2 linked regions of the Rhinolophus ferrumequinum genome follow. The protein of the gene in region 1 interacts with the protein of each later gene in a biochemical or structural test. Links are inferred from orthologs where the notes say so. Each region holds a gene or a part of one and is shown on either strand. Other genes may lie near its edges.

Evidence for each region. The genes of interacting proteins can lie anywhere in the genome.
Region 2: the proteins of RUFY1 (region 1) and RAB4A form a complex in vitro, tested with the Homo sapiens proteins (2 studies listed by BioGRID). The link is inferred for Rhinolophus ferrumequinum from reciprocal best matches to the Homo sapiens genes RUFY1 and RAB4A.

What each region holds. Positions count from the first base shown.
Region 1 is NC_046307.1:2,763,717-2,771,545, reverse strand, and holds the start of RUFY1 (RUN and FYVE domain-containing protein 1), read right to left. Parts: upstream 3,078-7,829; 5' UTR 3,038-3,077; coding exon 2,740-3,037; intron 1-2,739. UniProt on the Homo sapiens protein: Activating adapter involved in cargo sorting from early/recycling endosomes. Regulates retrieval of proteins from endosomes to the trans-Golgi network through interaction with the dynein-dynactin complex.
Region 2 is NC_046310.1:27,088,180-27,095,877, reverse strand, and holds the start of RAB4A (ras-related protein Rab-4A), read left to right. Parts: upstream 1-4,681; 5' UTR 4,682-4,921; coding exon 4,922-4,952; intron 4,953-7,698. UniProt on the Homo sapiens protein: The small GTPases Rab are key regulators of intracellular membrane trafficking, from the formation of transport vesicles to their fusion with membranes.

The DNA.
Region 1 (7,829 bases):
GTATGTCCTGTGGTTTTCATGAAAACTGTGTAGATGAAAGGATAGCTACAAGCATACACACCCTTTGAAAGATCGAACAGGATTGAGGTCAGTTTCTGGAATGAAGGACTGCCTCTATACAAGTCTTCTTTAGTATGGTTAGATGTTTTTTTTCCCCCACCATGCACGTTTATTATCTTAAAAAAATAAATCAGGGAGGCTGGATGGCCCAGTTGTTTAGAGCGCAAGCTCTGAACAACAGGGTTGCCGGTTTGATTCCCACAAGGGCCAGTGAGCTGTGCCCTCCACAACAACTTGGAGCTGATGGGCCCTGGAGAAACACACTGTTCCCCAATAATAAATAAATGAAAGAAAGAGAAAGAGAGAGAGAAAGAATATTTAAAAAATAAAAAACCAAATAAGACAACTATGTGAATGCAATTGCTGTGGCCTGCTGTGCTGCTACCAGACCTCACGTGGGATAATGCTGTACAACAAATACTCAGAGCATTCCACAACATTCCACAGTGTTTCCCTTTAACCTTTATTACCCCCAATTTTTTTCTGGGATGGGGCCTGCTGACACTCGACCTCTGTTCCTTCACTGCTCCCTCTGACAACGCTGCATCCTCATCACTTATGGAAGCAGATTGGTGGGAAAGACACGAATGAGCCTGCTGAAGCGGGGCCACTGTCTTCTCCTGACCTGCTGTTCGGGGGCCTCTGCCCAGCCTGGTGCCCGGGTCCACCTCCTTTCGCCACCTCCACTCCTGTCCTATTGGATGGCTCCAAATCCCGGTGACCTTCGTGGACTAGCCCACAGCTTCTCCCAGCTGTTTCCCACATTTCAGTCCTTGTTCAGTCATGTTCACAATTTTTGCCAGATCTGAGTGGCATTTATTTAATATTTTCATTAAAATATTAAATCTAATTAAAAAATCCATACGCATATATTAAGGCATTTTACCATAAAACTATTTAGAGGTATCGAGGCATTGGGGTGTTGTGACTAACAGCATGGCTTGAGAGGCAGGTGTCTTGGTTCAAGTATGGGCTCTGCCATTTCTAAGTTACTCTTTAAGTCAGTTTCCCTCCTTTCTAAAACGGGGATAAAATGGTACCTATCACATGGGCTGGCTCCATGTGGAAAGGCGAGGAAGTCAGTCTCCCCTTCGTGGGTCCTAAGGCATTGCACCTTCCTACAGAGATGGGGACCACCCTCTGGGGAGGATGAGAGGCCCGGTTGCCTGCCTACTGTGCTGTGGCACTGCCAGCCTGGTGCGGCATGGCAGTGGACACTCTAAGATTCAAAAGGCAAGACCCCAACCCTGCTTAGGCCAGCAGTGCCCCAGGGTAGTCTGAGTGGGCCAGGGCGGCTGAGAACCTGTCCCACGGAGGCAGTGGAAGGTGGGACCACACGTGAGTCCGACTCCAAGACCCCCACACATGCTCCTTTGTTCGCTCCTTCACTTACAAAACACAAATTCAGAGATATAATTACTAAGAATTTCAAGCATGGGTCATTTCTCAGTGCCTGTCCCTGTTGGACCACATTAACCAAAGCCTGCATCGATTACACACCATGAAGCCAGTCCTGCTATTATGCAGGATTACAGTGAGGATTAAATGAATTATGTACAGATCTAAGACTAATAACTGGCACCCAGTAAGCACAATACAAGTGTTGGCTATTATTCATAGCTCATAAATGGAAAACAAGTATTTTTCAAATAGGCATTTGTTCGAATATTTATTATTCTGAGCTAGGCACTGTTCTGGGCATTGGAACATTTTATTCATCAGTGAACAGGTAACATTATTTGCTTACTACCTACCATGAACTATCTGAGAGGCCTCCAGAAGACCCCAGGCCTTGACTCTGGGACTGACTGCCAGTGGGTGGGTGTGCAAACACTCACTGACATGCACAAAGCGGGCAAGGGATTGGGGACCAGATTCCTGGGTAGAGCAGCCCCTCATTACCTTTTAGTCCTACTTTCCATTGTCAGAATCTGAAAAGAAGTCAGATTTTAAACTTTACTCCTTAATCTTTCTTAACCACTGAGATTCTCAAAATTCACTATTCTGGAAAAGTTGCCAGTGGGTAGGACAGAATCAAGAAACCTCCAAGGCACACTAATGCTTCTTAAAGAGCACTCCAGTCTTTAGTCAGCTCTGCCCCACAGCACTTTCCTATGCAGAAGAAAATGTCCCCAGTGCACTATGCAATACGTAGCCACAAGCCCCCCGTGGGCCACTGAGTCACACATTTAATGTTTCCATTCTTCTCACTAATGACAAGGGCTGAAAGCACTGTAGGGAATCACTGGGTGAATCAAAACTCCCCATTTTACTGGCTGGGAAATGTGGTGACTTGACTCCTTGCGGAGAGTGGATGCGCTGTCACACCTGCAGGTGTGAGCTGGGCTGGCATTTTGAGATTTACGGCAGAAGTCCTGGATTTACTTAAGTGCTTTTTAAATCCCATACAGATAACCTGAGCTCAAACTCGTACATTTTCTTAAGGCCCACCAATGAATATAACGACGTTGTCTGGGGAACACAAGTGGGAGTCACCACCCAAGCCACGAATTCATCTCTGCGCAGCCGCAGAGTGTAGAGAAATCAGAAGAGAAGCCAGGCGCGTGAACACACTGGCTTCTTACGACCAGTCTAACAGGGTCTTGTCTGCCGCCCTCCTACAGCCAACCACCCCCTGACCCGAGCGGAGAACGGGCGGGACGCGCTCGCCGGACCTACCTGCCGGCGCCGCGCCGTCGGCGCCGCCGCCCGCGCTGCCCAGTCCCGCGGCCGCACGCAGCGCGCTCCCGCAGCTCGCCGACAGGTTGCCGGTGGCCCTGCGCGCCAGGGTCAGGATGGGCGCGGACCAGCCGTCCGCCGCGGCCCGCCGTCTCGCTGCACTCCGCAGCTCGCCCGGGCCCGGCAGCTGGCTCCGGTCCACGATCTCGAACTCTTCTCCCGGCTCCGGCTCCTGCGCCTGCTCCGGCCCTGGCCCGAGCTCCCGCCCCGCCGAGCAGCTGGCTCCCCCGTCGGCCATCTTGGCCGCGTCACGTGGCCCGAGCGGGCCGCGTGCTCGGGGCGGGCGGGCCGGCGCTCTCACACCCTTGCTGTCCTGTTTTCCTGTTCGCGACGTCGGTCTTCTTCTTCACCACCCTCCCTCCCTCCCTCCCTCCCACTCTAAGTAGGTTCAGGAAAGTACCGGTCATAACCTAAGGAGCGCCCCTATTCCCACCAGTCGGGAGGACTTTTTTCCGTGAAGTTACTCTTGGTCCCAGCCTAGAACACAGCCCACATGGCCTTAGTTTTCTTTGTGACACGAGTTCCTCTTTTTTATTTTCATTTCATATTTTGCTTTTTCTATTTCACTTTTCTGCAGCAGTCTTCAGAACAAGCAAAAGGGCGGGTAAGGAAACGGACTGGAGAGGTAGGAAACAGAAGTTTTAAAAAATTACGGACCTAATGCCACAGCTTGGCAGAAAATCCACTGAGGTGGATTGGAAATCTGAAGGTCCAGATTCTGCTATTAATTGGCTAAAGGGGGACAATAACAACCTACCTCATTATTTAAGTAAGATTTTGCAGTAAGGAGCACGGAGCAAACGTTAGCAATCGTGATGGCTGTTACCCAACTATGCGGCTTAGGCAAGGCACTCTTAACGACTTATAGCCTGTTTTGGCACTTGGAAAAGAAGGGAATTTGACAAAGTAGAAACTCAAATTTCACCAGCATTTGACACTTTTTTTTTTTTTTTTTTTTTGCAAAGTGCTGCACGTGGGCACCATCAAACAAGCAGAACTGTTTGGTTTGACTCCCAGAGTGCTTACATTTTAAATTTTCAGGTTGTTGCAGATATCTAGAAATCAACCGGTTTTGCATAAAAAGCTGGATTTTGGCTGTCCCTTGAAGCATCGGAAGATTTGGCAACTCAGTATGTTTGCTGATGGCGGCGAACTAGTGGAGTGGGCAGTGGCTGCCCTTCAGAAGCCCAGGTTCTCTAGGCGTGTAGGTCCAGCCCAGTGTACTAGTCATGATCTGCCTGATCCCTGAAGGCCAATTGTTTTTTGTGGAGTGGGGAGTGAGTGGGGGAATTGGTGGGGATGACATTTGAGTTGTCACAGTGATTGAGGAGTGGAGGGGCGGATGGGGTGTCGGGTAGTTTGGAATGACAAAGAGTTGTCCAGGATCCTTCAGGACTCTCCTTCCCCCTGGACATTCATGTAAGTGCAAAGCTTGTTTATAATGATCAGAGCCTGGAGCCTAATTCCATTTTGCATAAAAACATAAACTATTCTTGAGGGGAACAGTTTTAATACTATATCAGGCTAGGTTATGCTTCAGTAACAACCCCCAAATATCAGTATCTTCCCATAACAGAAGTTTGTCATTATGCCGGGCTGTTGGAGGTTCTGTCACTTGGAGCAGTTTTGCATCAATAGTAAATGCCCCAGCCTTGAAGTGATTATTCCCTTATACACATTTCATTGGCCAAAGCAAGTCACATAGCAACTCTAACTTCAATAGAATTGGGAAGTTCAATCCTATTAGTGGAATAGGAGAACTGGGAATATTGGTGAACAGAATAATGACTACCAGAAATGCATTTTGAATTTTCCCAGAATGCAACAAAATTGATTTGTTCAGAACCTAAAAGTTATTAACCGTTTCAGAACATCATGTCACCCACAACAATGCTGGAGATGTTAAGATGATGCCAGTGCTGTCTGTCACAGTCATGGCTATTTTATATAAAGGTACAAATAGTTACATTGCTTTTAGTGGTAGTTGTGCCTCATTTACATATTGAAATACATATTATGGAGTTATTTCTCTTAGGACATACTAATTTTTTGAGATTTTGAGTGTTGGTAGGTAGGTTTATTATCTATGAATTTCATTTCAGAATTGTAAATGGGGCATTATAGAAGATATACCGTGTTTCCCCGAAAATAAGACCTAGCTGGATGATCAGCTCTAATGCGTCTTTTGGAGCAAAAGTTAATAGAATGAAGAGGCAACCTGAAGAGACCAGAATTACCTGCTGGGAAAGATTGGTTTTTGTCAATTGGGGGAACTTGAATGTGGATATTAGATATTGCAGAATTAATTTTTTAAGTATGATAATGGATTGTGGGTGTGTAGGAAAAGGCCTTTATTTTTACAGCTGCATTAGAGTATCAAGTAGTGATATGTTATGATGTCTATAATTTATTTTAAAATACTTCAGCAAAAGAAAATAGATGATGCAAATGTGGCAAGAGCTTGACACTTTTGAAATCTAGGTAACAAGTGTACGAGAGTTATTACATATTCCCTCTACTTTTCTGAATGTCTGTATTTTCATAAGAAAAAGTAAAAAGATATGTAAAAAAGTGAATCTGTTTGCAACAGCAGCCAATGTTCCATGAAGTGAAAAATCACCAAAAAAGGCTTGACATTTTTTTTTTAAAAAATGAAAACATAAATTAAGAAAATAAGTATATTTGATCTTATATTTAATAAAATGTAGACTATGCTTGCAACCATGTGCTGGTTTTTAGAATGAATACAAAAATGAACAAATGCTGATTCTTTTGTATAATTTTTCTGAAAAATTACCTGATATCAAGACATAGCATCATTCATTTTAGCTGATTTATGGTGGACTCAGAAAGAGGGTCCAAAACTTAGGCTTCATCTTATTTCTCAAGTTCTCTTCAATCTTTTATAGACCTATCATATCTCTTTTTTTCCCCTGTGGTTCCATTTCCATTTTAGTTGTATCTGTTTGCACATAGCTAGTACTCAAGCGAATAGGCCAAAAGCAGTAAACTAATCCTGTTCACAATGCTATTCATTCTTCTGGCTGCTTTCATGGGATTGCTTATTGGAAAACACAAGCCATTTTATGGTATTATTACTCTATACTGTGAGCCTATCTGAGCTCACTCTTTACTTTTAATATAAGTTGTAAATTCATTATTTTTTTCCAACCATTCTGTTTTGAAGTTCATCAGCGTTGACTTCCTTTTCTGCCGACCCTACGTGTAGGGGCTTTGTGTGGGAATTGAGGGGGACCTGAGCATCACTTTTGTTTACTCGTGAAATCTTGCATCCTGTGCAAGATGCACAGTTTCACTGTACAGTTGATTGGCCTTGTAGACATCTGCCAGCTGGTGAGAGACTGGCTGGCCATCGGGTCCGTACTGGGGACAGTGCTTTGGGCTTCAGCAGGAAGTGAGCTTTGAGGAGGGACTAATTTTATAAGCGGTAACAGATTTTATAAGGGGTACTGCTAACATACTCATTAGTGAATATTTTAATTTTATGAAGACTTGCTTCTCTAAATGGCCTTGTAACTGCAGGGACTAGGGCAAAATACCCACAGGTGAATATTTTGAGTTTAAAACTTGTAGCTTGTTGTGGTGGCTGTGACTGACTGAGATGCAGGTGCTGTTTCTGAGATGGCATCCATCAATGTCTAGCAGGTGAAAGCGTAATCACCTAATAGGAAAACTCTCCTTACTCACTATACTTCTGATGCTAATTGCGCAGAGTGGGTGCAGACCCCACAAGACTGCAGAGGCCAATCACTAGTGTGGGCCTCTGGTACTTTTGACCGACTGGCTATCAACTGGGGATTTGCACGACCCCCTCCTTGGATTTGGCAATTTACTAGCATGACTCACGGTATTGAGGAAAGCACTTTAACCGTTGATTGCAAAGGATACAACTCAGGAACAGCTAACTGGTAGAGATATGTGGGACAAGCTGTGTGAGACAGATGTGGAGTGGCTATGCCCCTCTGGGCACGCCATCCTCCCAGCACCTTGATGTGTTCAGCAACCTGGAAGATCTCTGAACCTCATTGTTGAGGCTTTTTATGGAGGTTCCATGACTTGGGCAGGATTGATGAAGTTGGGTGGTTGAACTCAATCTCTAGCCCCTCTCACGTCCCTGGAGGTCCAGTGGTGGGGATGAATGTTCCAACCCTCTAATTACATGGTTGATTCTTTTGACAACAGCCCTCATCCTCCCTGAGTCACCTCATCAGCATAAACTCAGGTATGGTTGAATGGCACTTATTAGAAATAACGAAAGATACAACTATGTCCCCCATTACTCAGGAAAAGTACACGGGTTTTAGGAGCTCTGTGCCAGGAACCAGGAGCAGAGACCAAATATTGTTTCTTATCCTTCTCCTCCTCCTCCCCCTTCTTATTCTATACAGTGTTTCTTTATGAACAAATTGTACCACACAAATCAGGTTATCTCTTCTATCTGTATTTACAGAAGCAACAGAATATTTTACTAGGAGATATTCTGTACCTGGACCAGACGACTGGAACATGGAGTGGACATCTAATGACCAAGAAGGTAAAACTGGCAACTGTTGTGCAACTTCTCGGAGAAGATTCGAGTGTGTTTTCTACGTCTTTGATAATAAGCTGCTCACCAGCAGGGATAGGATAACACGTTAAGGGGGTGATGTGGCCAGAGAAGGGGTGATGTAGGACACCACAGGGAGCTAAACCAGGACAAGGAGCAGAGGCATGTCAGCTTAGGTTAAACACCAAGCCCGGACAGCGCCCTGCAGTGGGACCGCCCCAAGGTACCGCATCCCTTTGCGAGCTGAAATTGGGCGAGTCCTCATCTGGGCACTTTGTTTTGAGAATTCAATTAGTCGTTACAAAAAAGGGATTTATTTTTAAAGTAGATGCAACTTAGAGAGAGAAAGTTAAACATTAGGAAAGTATTAACTTCTTGAGACCTCAAAAACTATTTTTTTATTAAAGTTTATTGTGGTGACAATTGTTAGTAAAGTTACATAGATTTCAGGTGTACAATTCTG
Region 2 (7,698 bases), on another chromosome or scaffold:
CTCAGAGACATAAAAGAAAAACTGAGGGTTGCTAGATGGGAGGGGGTAGGGGATAAGGGGGAAGGTGAGGGGATTAGAAAACAGTCAGTAACCACAAGATGGCCTTGGGGTTTTGAAAATTTGGGGAATGTAATCAATAATGTTGTAAAGATTTTGTAGGGTATCCGATGGACACTTGTCTCATTAGGGAGACCACCGCAGAGATGATATAGATGCCTGATCACTGCACTGTACACCTGAAGCTGAAGCTGAACAATAATGAATGTCAACTATAATTTTAATATATATATTTATAAGTGGAGTACAGTATTAGGAATAGAGACAATGGAAATGTAATGGCTGTGTGCGACGTCAGAGGGGTAGTGGATGGGGAGGGTTACAAAAGTGAGGGATATAAATGATAAATGTCTAACTATTACATTGTTTTGTACACCTGAAACTAATACAAAAATAAAATAAAATAAATCAACAAGTTTGAAATTAAGTGCATTACATTAAATTAAATCCATATTAAATAGAGAGCTACTGAGTTTTATTTTATTCATTAAACAACTATTTAATTATTGAGAGTTTACTATGTGCCAAATACCATTTTAGCCATGAGGGTAGAGAAGAGAATAAGACAGACACAACCCTTTCCCTTATATAGTTTATAATCTAAATGGGAGCAGACAATATAAAAATAATCAATATATGTGTTAGAAGGTGTTCAATGCTGTGGAGTGGGGGGACCCAAAGCAGGGGGTGTATGAAATTCTGGGGAGGAGAAGGGCTGCCGTTTCATATCTGAGTGGGAGGGCCTCATTGTTGAGGCGCCGTATGAGCAGAAAACAGAAAGGCTGAGGGCAGCACCATGTAGACACCTGAGACAAGGGCATTCCAGAGAGCCTGCCAGGCGGACAAGAAAGCATGTGCAGAGACCCTGAGGCCAAAGCCTGCTTCGTGTGTTCAAAACACAACAAGAAGGCCAAGACACAACCAGAGCCGAGTGAAACATGTATGTCTCACTAAACAAGTAAACCTCTAAATGTCTGGCAGCCAATCAAAACCTACCTGACATGTAAAGTAGGGAAATACTTCATAATGAGGAGAAAAGGCAATCATTAGAAACTGTCTCAGAAATTACTGATGATAAAAATTAGTAGAAAATGACATTAAAACCATTATTACAACATATTCCATACATTCAAGAAGGTAGAGAAGAGATTAAGTACTGAGCATGACATACATATACACAATTGAACTTCTAGAAATGAAATTACAATGTCTGAAAGGGAAAATACACTGGATGAGATTATCAGCAGATTAAATATTGCAGAAAAGATTAGTGAACTCAAAGACATAGCATAGAAACCATCCAACACGAAACACAGAGACTGGCAAGAAATGAACAGAGTGTCAGTTAGCTATGGGACAAATTCATGTGGCCTGACATGACAAAAACCATAATGAAAATCACACCGAAGCACAGCATAGCACATCGTAACCAAACTACTCAAACTAGTGATAAACATATCTTTAAAACAGTCAGAGATAAGATGCACTGCCTACAAAGGAATAAAGCTAAAAATGGCAGTAGACTTCTTATCAGAAACAACATAAGCCAGAAAATGCTGTATTAAGGGAACAAAAATAAAACTATTAACTTAGAAATCTAAACTTAGCAGAATTATCCCTCAAAAACAAGTGCAATATCCTTTTTAGCTACACAAAAGCTGGCAGAAGTCTTTGCCAGCTGACCTGCACTTCGAGGTCTGCTACCGGAAGTCCTTTGGACAAAAGGGAAATGACATCATGTGGGATGCTGGGTCCACATGAGGGACTGAGGAGTCATAAACATGGTAACTTTGTGGGTAAATATGTAATACTTGTTCTTATTGCTTAAATCTATTTTTAAAAAAATGTGGTCTATGCATACAGTGGAATGCTATTCAGCCTTAAACAAGGAAAGCAATTCTGACATAGGCGACAACATGGATAAACCTGGAGGACATTACGTTGTGTGAAGTAAGCCAGTCACAAAAGGACAAATATTGTGTTATTTCACTCATATGAGCTACTAGAATCGTCAGATTCACAGAGAGACAAATTAGAAGGGGTTGGGGGAGGAGGGACGGAGAGTTAGTGTTTAATGGGGACAGAGTTTCAGTTTTGCAAGATGAAGAGTTCCCATAGGCAGATGGTGGGGATGGTCTCACAACGATGTGAATACATTGTCCCCTCTTATCAGCAGGGACACATTCCAAGACCCCCAGTGGATGCCTGAAACCACAGATGGTAGCAAACCCTAGATATACTATCTTTTTTCCCTAGGTGTACTCACCTTTCCAATAAACAGCAGCATTTTCCAGCTTCTCTTTGGCAAATCTGAATTGCCAACATCCCTGTGCTTGTACTTTGGGTCCATCATTCAATAAAATGCGGGTGACTTGAACACAATCTCTGCAATACCACGACAGTTGCCTGAAACTGAGGTGGCTACTAACAGGAGGGGAACATCTACAGCGTGGAGACACGGGACAAAGGAATGATTCATGGGTGGGATGTAGCAGGATGGCACAAGATTTCATTGCATTACTCAGAACGGCTTGTAATTTAAAACCTATGACTTGTTTATTTCTGGAATTTTCCATTTAATGTTTTTGGACTAGGGTTGACTGTGGGTCACTGAACCCATGGATGGGGAGAAACCATTGTAAACTTAATGCCACTGACCTGTGCATTTAAAGATGGTTGCGATGGTAAATTTTATGTTATGTGCATTTGACCACAATTTTAAAAAGGGAGAAAATTGGCTGCTTAGAGCAGAAATAAGAATGACATGTGTATGGTGTACAACAAATGTGGAAGTAGGACCTCCACAGCACAATTACAGGGGCGGGTGGAGGAGACCTTCTGTGCCGTTCTTATTCTCCAGGTGAGATGGCATCGCACCTGCAGGTGGGCTGCGATCACTTAGAAACCTGCACTAGAAACCCTAAAACAAGCACTGAGATAATCTCACAAGAAGTTATTCCTAATGAGCAATGAAGAAGGTAAAACAGAATCGCAAAAAGTGCCCCTGCCCATTGAAAAGGCCTAGGAGTAGTGACACCTCTGTAGCAGTGAGCACAGGTGTACACATACATAAAAAATTATCAAAGTGTATACTTTAAACATGTGTAGCTATCCCAGTTATGCTTCCATACAGTTGTTTGGAATAAAAGCAGAGTGAGCTGCTTGGATGGGTAAAAATCTCCCATGATGGTCATCGTGTCTTTCCACATGCATCTACCTTCTTGCCTTCTAGAACACAACAATAGCTCACTCCCTGTTCTCTTTGAAGTTAGGTGTGGCCACGTCACTTGCTTTGGCCTATGAATTGTAAAGGGAAAGGATTCTATCAACTCCTGATGGGACCTTCACGAGCTAACGCACAAGTGATGTCATTTCCTTCTCCTGCCTGAGTCATGGTGGGAGCGTGTGTTTACACAACACCTGGGTCATCCTGGGTCTCCACGTGGCCACAGGGAACTGAGTCTCTCTGCCAATGTGAGCAGGACAAGAGTCAAGTGAGAGAAACTTCAGGCATAGGCACATCGGGAGGTCTTTGTTACTGCAGCTAATTTAGCCCATCCTGACCGAATGTTTCCTAACAGACACATCCAGCTACAGAGGTCGTTTTGTTTGGCACTGGAATGCAAACTGGCCCATCCACTTCTGAGGTCTCTTCCAACTTGAAGATATGAGTTATATGTCACAGGTATCACCGCCTGGGTGTTTAATTGAGGTCAGTTTTTCAAGCCTCCACCTACCTGTGTGGAACTTGACTTCTTCTGAAAGTAACACCAGATATTTCTGAGTCCCTAAATATTCCGACAGACACACACGTTGGCTCAGCGTCCAAGGAAAGTCACCATAGAGACTGTGACCAGTGCCCTCTACCAAGCCTAGCTCCGTCAAGGATGCCATGTCCCTTTGCTCCCAAAGCCACTGCTGCCCGAAATGTCAGGATGCTGCTGGATTCTCATCCCTAGGCCTTTTAGGGTCCCCTCAGGGAACGGGGCTACTACTGTTCTAGGTCCAACTATGGGTGTTCCCAGGCGCCTTCAGTTATTGTCCATCAGTCCCCACTCGTCCCTCCAGATACCACTGTCCCCACCCTCCAGATACCACTGTCCCCACCCATGTGACCCTCTGCTAGTCCTGGAGAACAGGAATCCTTGTGAGGCTGGCTCCGTGAGGCATTGCCAGAGAGCAAGAAGGACAGTGTCAGCTACTTAGCAGCAGGTGGGATCTATTTTGGAAGAAATGCTTCTCCCTTCGTTTCCCTGAGACAAATCTTCGATGTGCCTAGGCTTTTGGAAACCTGCTTTTACTCTTTCACAAACCTCCCTTGAAGAGAAAGGAGAAAATAATCGAAGAAAAACACAGATGAGTTTTGCCGTAAGTTTTCTTTCCCCACAGTACCTCAGAATGAAAGCACTTCCCAAGATTAATTAAGAGAAATTTATTTTGTCTCAAAGATCCCAAGTTACCGAGATGCAAAGAATTTTTCACTTCACCGGCCCCGCCCCGCCCCGCCCCGCCCCGCCCCGCCCCGCCCCGCCCGGCTCCCCGCCTCCCGTCCCCCGCCCCCCGCCCCGCCCCGCCCCCCGCCCCGCCCCGCCCGGCCCCGGGCTGCGTGCGCACGCGCGTCCCCGGGCGGGGACTGGGCCTGGTGCGCCTGCGCGGATGGGCAGTCCGGCGGGGCCGCAGCCGCGGGGTGGCGGGCGGTTGTCTTAGAGACCGCGCGGGCCCCTCCGTCCTCCGGACCCCGCCCCACGCCGTTGCCCACCGAGCCGGACGATCCCCGGACGACCCCGGGACGACCACGCCCGTCCCCTGCCGCCGGCCGGGCCGGAGCTGCGCCGGGACCCGCGAGAGGCGGTGCCGCCCCGAGATGTCGCAGACGGCCATGTCGGAGACCTACGGTACCGGGCGCAGGGCCGGGGGCGGGCGGGCGGTGCGTCCCGGTCCAGGCCTCCTGCCGCGCTGACGCCCCGGGTTCCTCTCGGCGCGGTCTGGTCTCCGTAGCGCGGGGTTTGGGAAGGCGGCTCGCGGCTGTTCCATCTGCGGCATTGTCCCCAGCGAGGGACGTGACGGGCTCGGGCGACGCCTGCGGCCCCGGTGGACCTTTGCTGCCTTGGAGCCCCCTCCTGCACGGGGTCACGGGTGGGGCCGGCTCTGTGAGCGGCTCTCGGGGGCGTGTGCCCCGCTCGTGTCCCCTCGGGTTCAGCCCCTTCTGGTTGCGCCTGACGTTGGCAGTGTCTCCAGACGGCGGGCACCTCGCGAGCACCGGGGCCCGCGTTTGCGCGCCGCTGCTCCCGTCGGCGCCCACACCTGCGGGCGCCCAGCACATACCTTTTGAATAAACCGAAGCCTTGCGGAGTCACGCGCGGTTTTCGTCTGGGTGTGAGGCCTGCGCGACAGAAGTGAAGTGCGCGGTGTGCGCGCCCGCCCTGTCGGGGCTGAGCTGGCGCCGCTTTAGTCGCCCTGAACGGCGTGTGCATTCAGGTCGAGGCCGATTGGGAGTTTTACAGCCCAGGTCAGAGGCTCGGATTCAAAAGTGTGTACCTCACGTCGGATCACTTTTGTCTCCGTTTGTGCTGTCACGCTGCTCCTTCCCCTTCAGCAAGTGTGTGTGCACGGGCGTGCGGAGCCGCGCTGGAAGGCGCTGACTCCCGGCGGGCGGGCGGTCTGGCTGGGGGTTCAGTGCGGACCTGCTTATGCCACTGACGAGTGACTAGTTAAAACCCCTGGCAGGAGTTCCGAAGCCTGTGGTCTGTGAAAGTATGTGAGAAAGAAACCTAACCCAGGCTGGGGGCCAGGGGACGGCAGCACAGCACGTGCCCAGGCCCAGGCCGGGAGGGAGATGCAGTTCCACTGGGGGAGTGTGGCTTGGGCCCCACAGCCCCTGGGAGAGCCCTGAGGGCGAGGCACAGAGGACCTCGTGCGAGGATGTGGTCTTTCTCCCGAGAGCGGTGGGTGGGTCAGTGCATTTGCTCCATGTCCTGCCACTCCTGGGAGTGGTACATGCATGGTGACACTGGGGGGCACTGCAGCAGGTCTGTCCCTAGAAGGCTTTGGAGATCCTCCAGGAAGTCGCTGGCTTCACAAGGACCAGTGTAGTCAGAGCTGCAAATGCTACAGTACGTCACATCCCGTCACATCCCCGTGGTCCATAGAGAACCACTGTTGAATTTCTTAAAGAAAATATATTTCTCTAGCAATGTTTGATTATACTTTTGCTTTTCTTTATTTTCAAGTGCTCCTAACCTCCACACTCCTCTTTAACCTGGATAAGGAGCACAAGAAAGGGGTGAAAAGTCTAAATAAGAAAAGCCAGTGGGGTTATGAAATAATAAGAAATGAGTGGAAGAGTTCATTTCTCTTATATGGGATGATAACCTTGATAAAATGGAGCATGCCTCTGGCATCTCTGCTTCCCTTCTGACAGTGAATTAAACTTTTGAGCATCACAGTAACTGATTAAATTTGATCCTAAGGTTTTGACCATCAGTATTCTTATTTCATGGTAACTTCCAAACATGTTTTTACTTTTTACCAACAGAATTTAATCTTTCTCTCTAGAGGAAACAAATAGAAAATAAGTTTTAGAAAGAGCAAATGTGGAAATTGAAAGTGTCAACCTAAAATTAAAAATCACTCCAAACCAAGTCCTAAGCTGTCACCTTCCCTTATTGACCATTTTTGCACAGCATTGTGCCCCAAAGGTAAATCAATCAGGGGCCCTCCTCCCACACATTTGCCTCTTGGATAGCTGGTAAAGGAATATTTGCCTAATCTTTAAACTCCTTTCTAGTCTGGGCTCACTTTCTCTCTTCTGGGAAAGAAGGCTCTGTGTAGCTTGACCGGGATGATGAAAAAGGAAGAGCCAGGCTTATAATGTACCGTTAGTGAGCTCTGTCTGCCCTCTGTGTGCCTGTTAAAGCATTTGATCCCCTCATAGACTGAGGAGTGTGCAACATTTTGCTGCTTTGAAACCACTAACCACATGAAAACTCTATGTATTATTGTAACAGAAAATTGAAATAAACACAGAAGTTTCAGATTGAAACCTTCAATCTGAATAGCCGTCAACTAAAACAGTGGTTCCCAAATGTTACCAGGTTCATGACACTTTGAAAGCCCTGGCCAAGTAGGCTGGCTTGGGACTTCCCAAGGAACTGCAGCCATCTAACACGGGAGATCGCAAATTAGCTTTAAGTAATTTCTGATAATCAAGATTTATGAGACAAAACTAACAAATCAGAGAAGTATTAATAGTTCCCAGCAATGGAGTTCAGAAAGGAGCTAAAAAGTGTTAAGTGATGCAGAAAATGCTATGAATTAAAAATAAAAAGTTTAAGGGCCGAGGCAGTTTGAGAGAGGAAAAATCTAAGGTAAATCTCTCTCTACACACTGGAGTTTATGCCTTCTACAACAAATTATGGAACAAGAACACAAATTGTTGGTCCTGTGCTAATTCTTATTACAGTACACCCTTAATGTTTTTATTTTGAAAGTATAATAGTATTTACTACATAATTTTGAGAATTATCAGGATATTGAAATTATCGGGATATATATCATTATAGGCTGTTGTGGGTTGAATTGTGTCCTGCAAAAGATATGTGCAGGTCCTAACCCCAGTACCTGTGACTGTGACCTTATTTG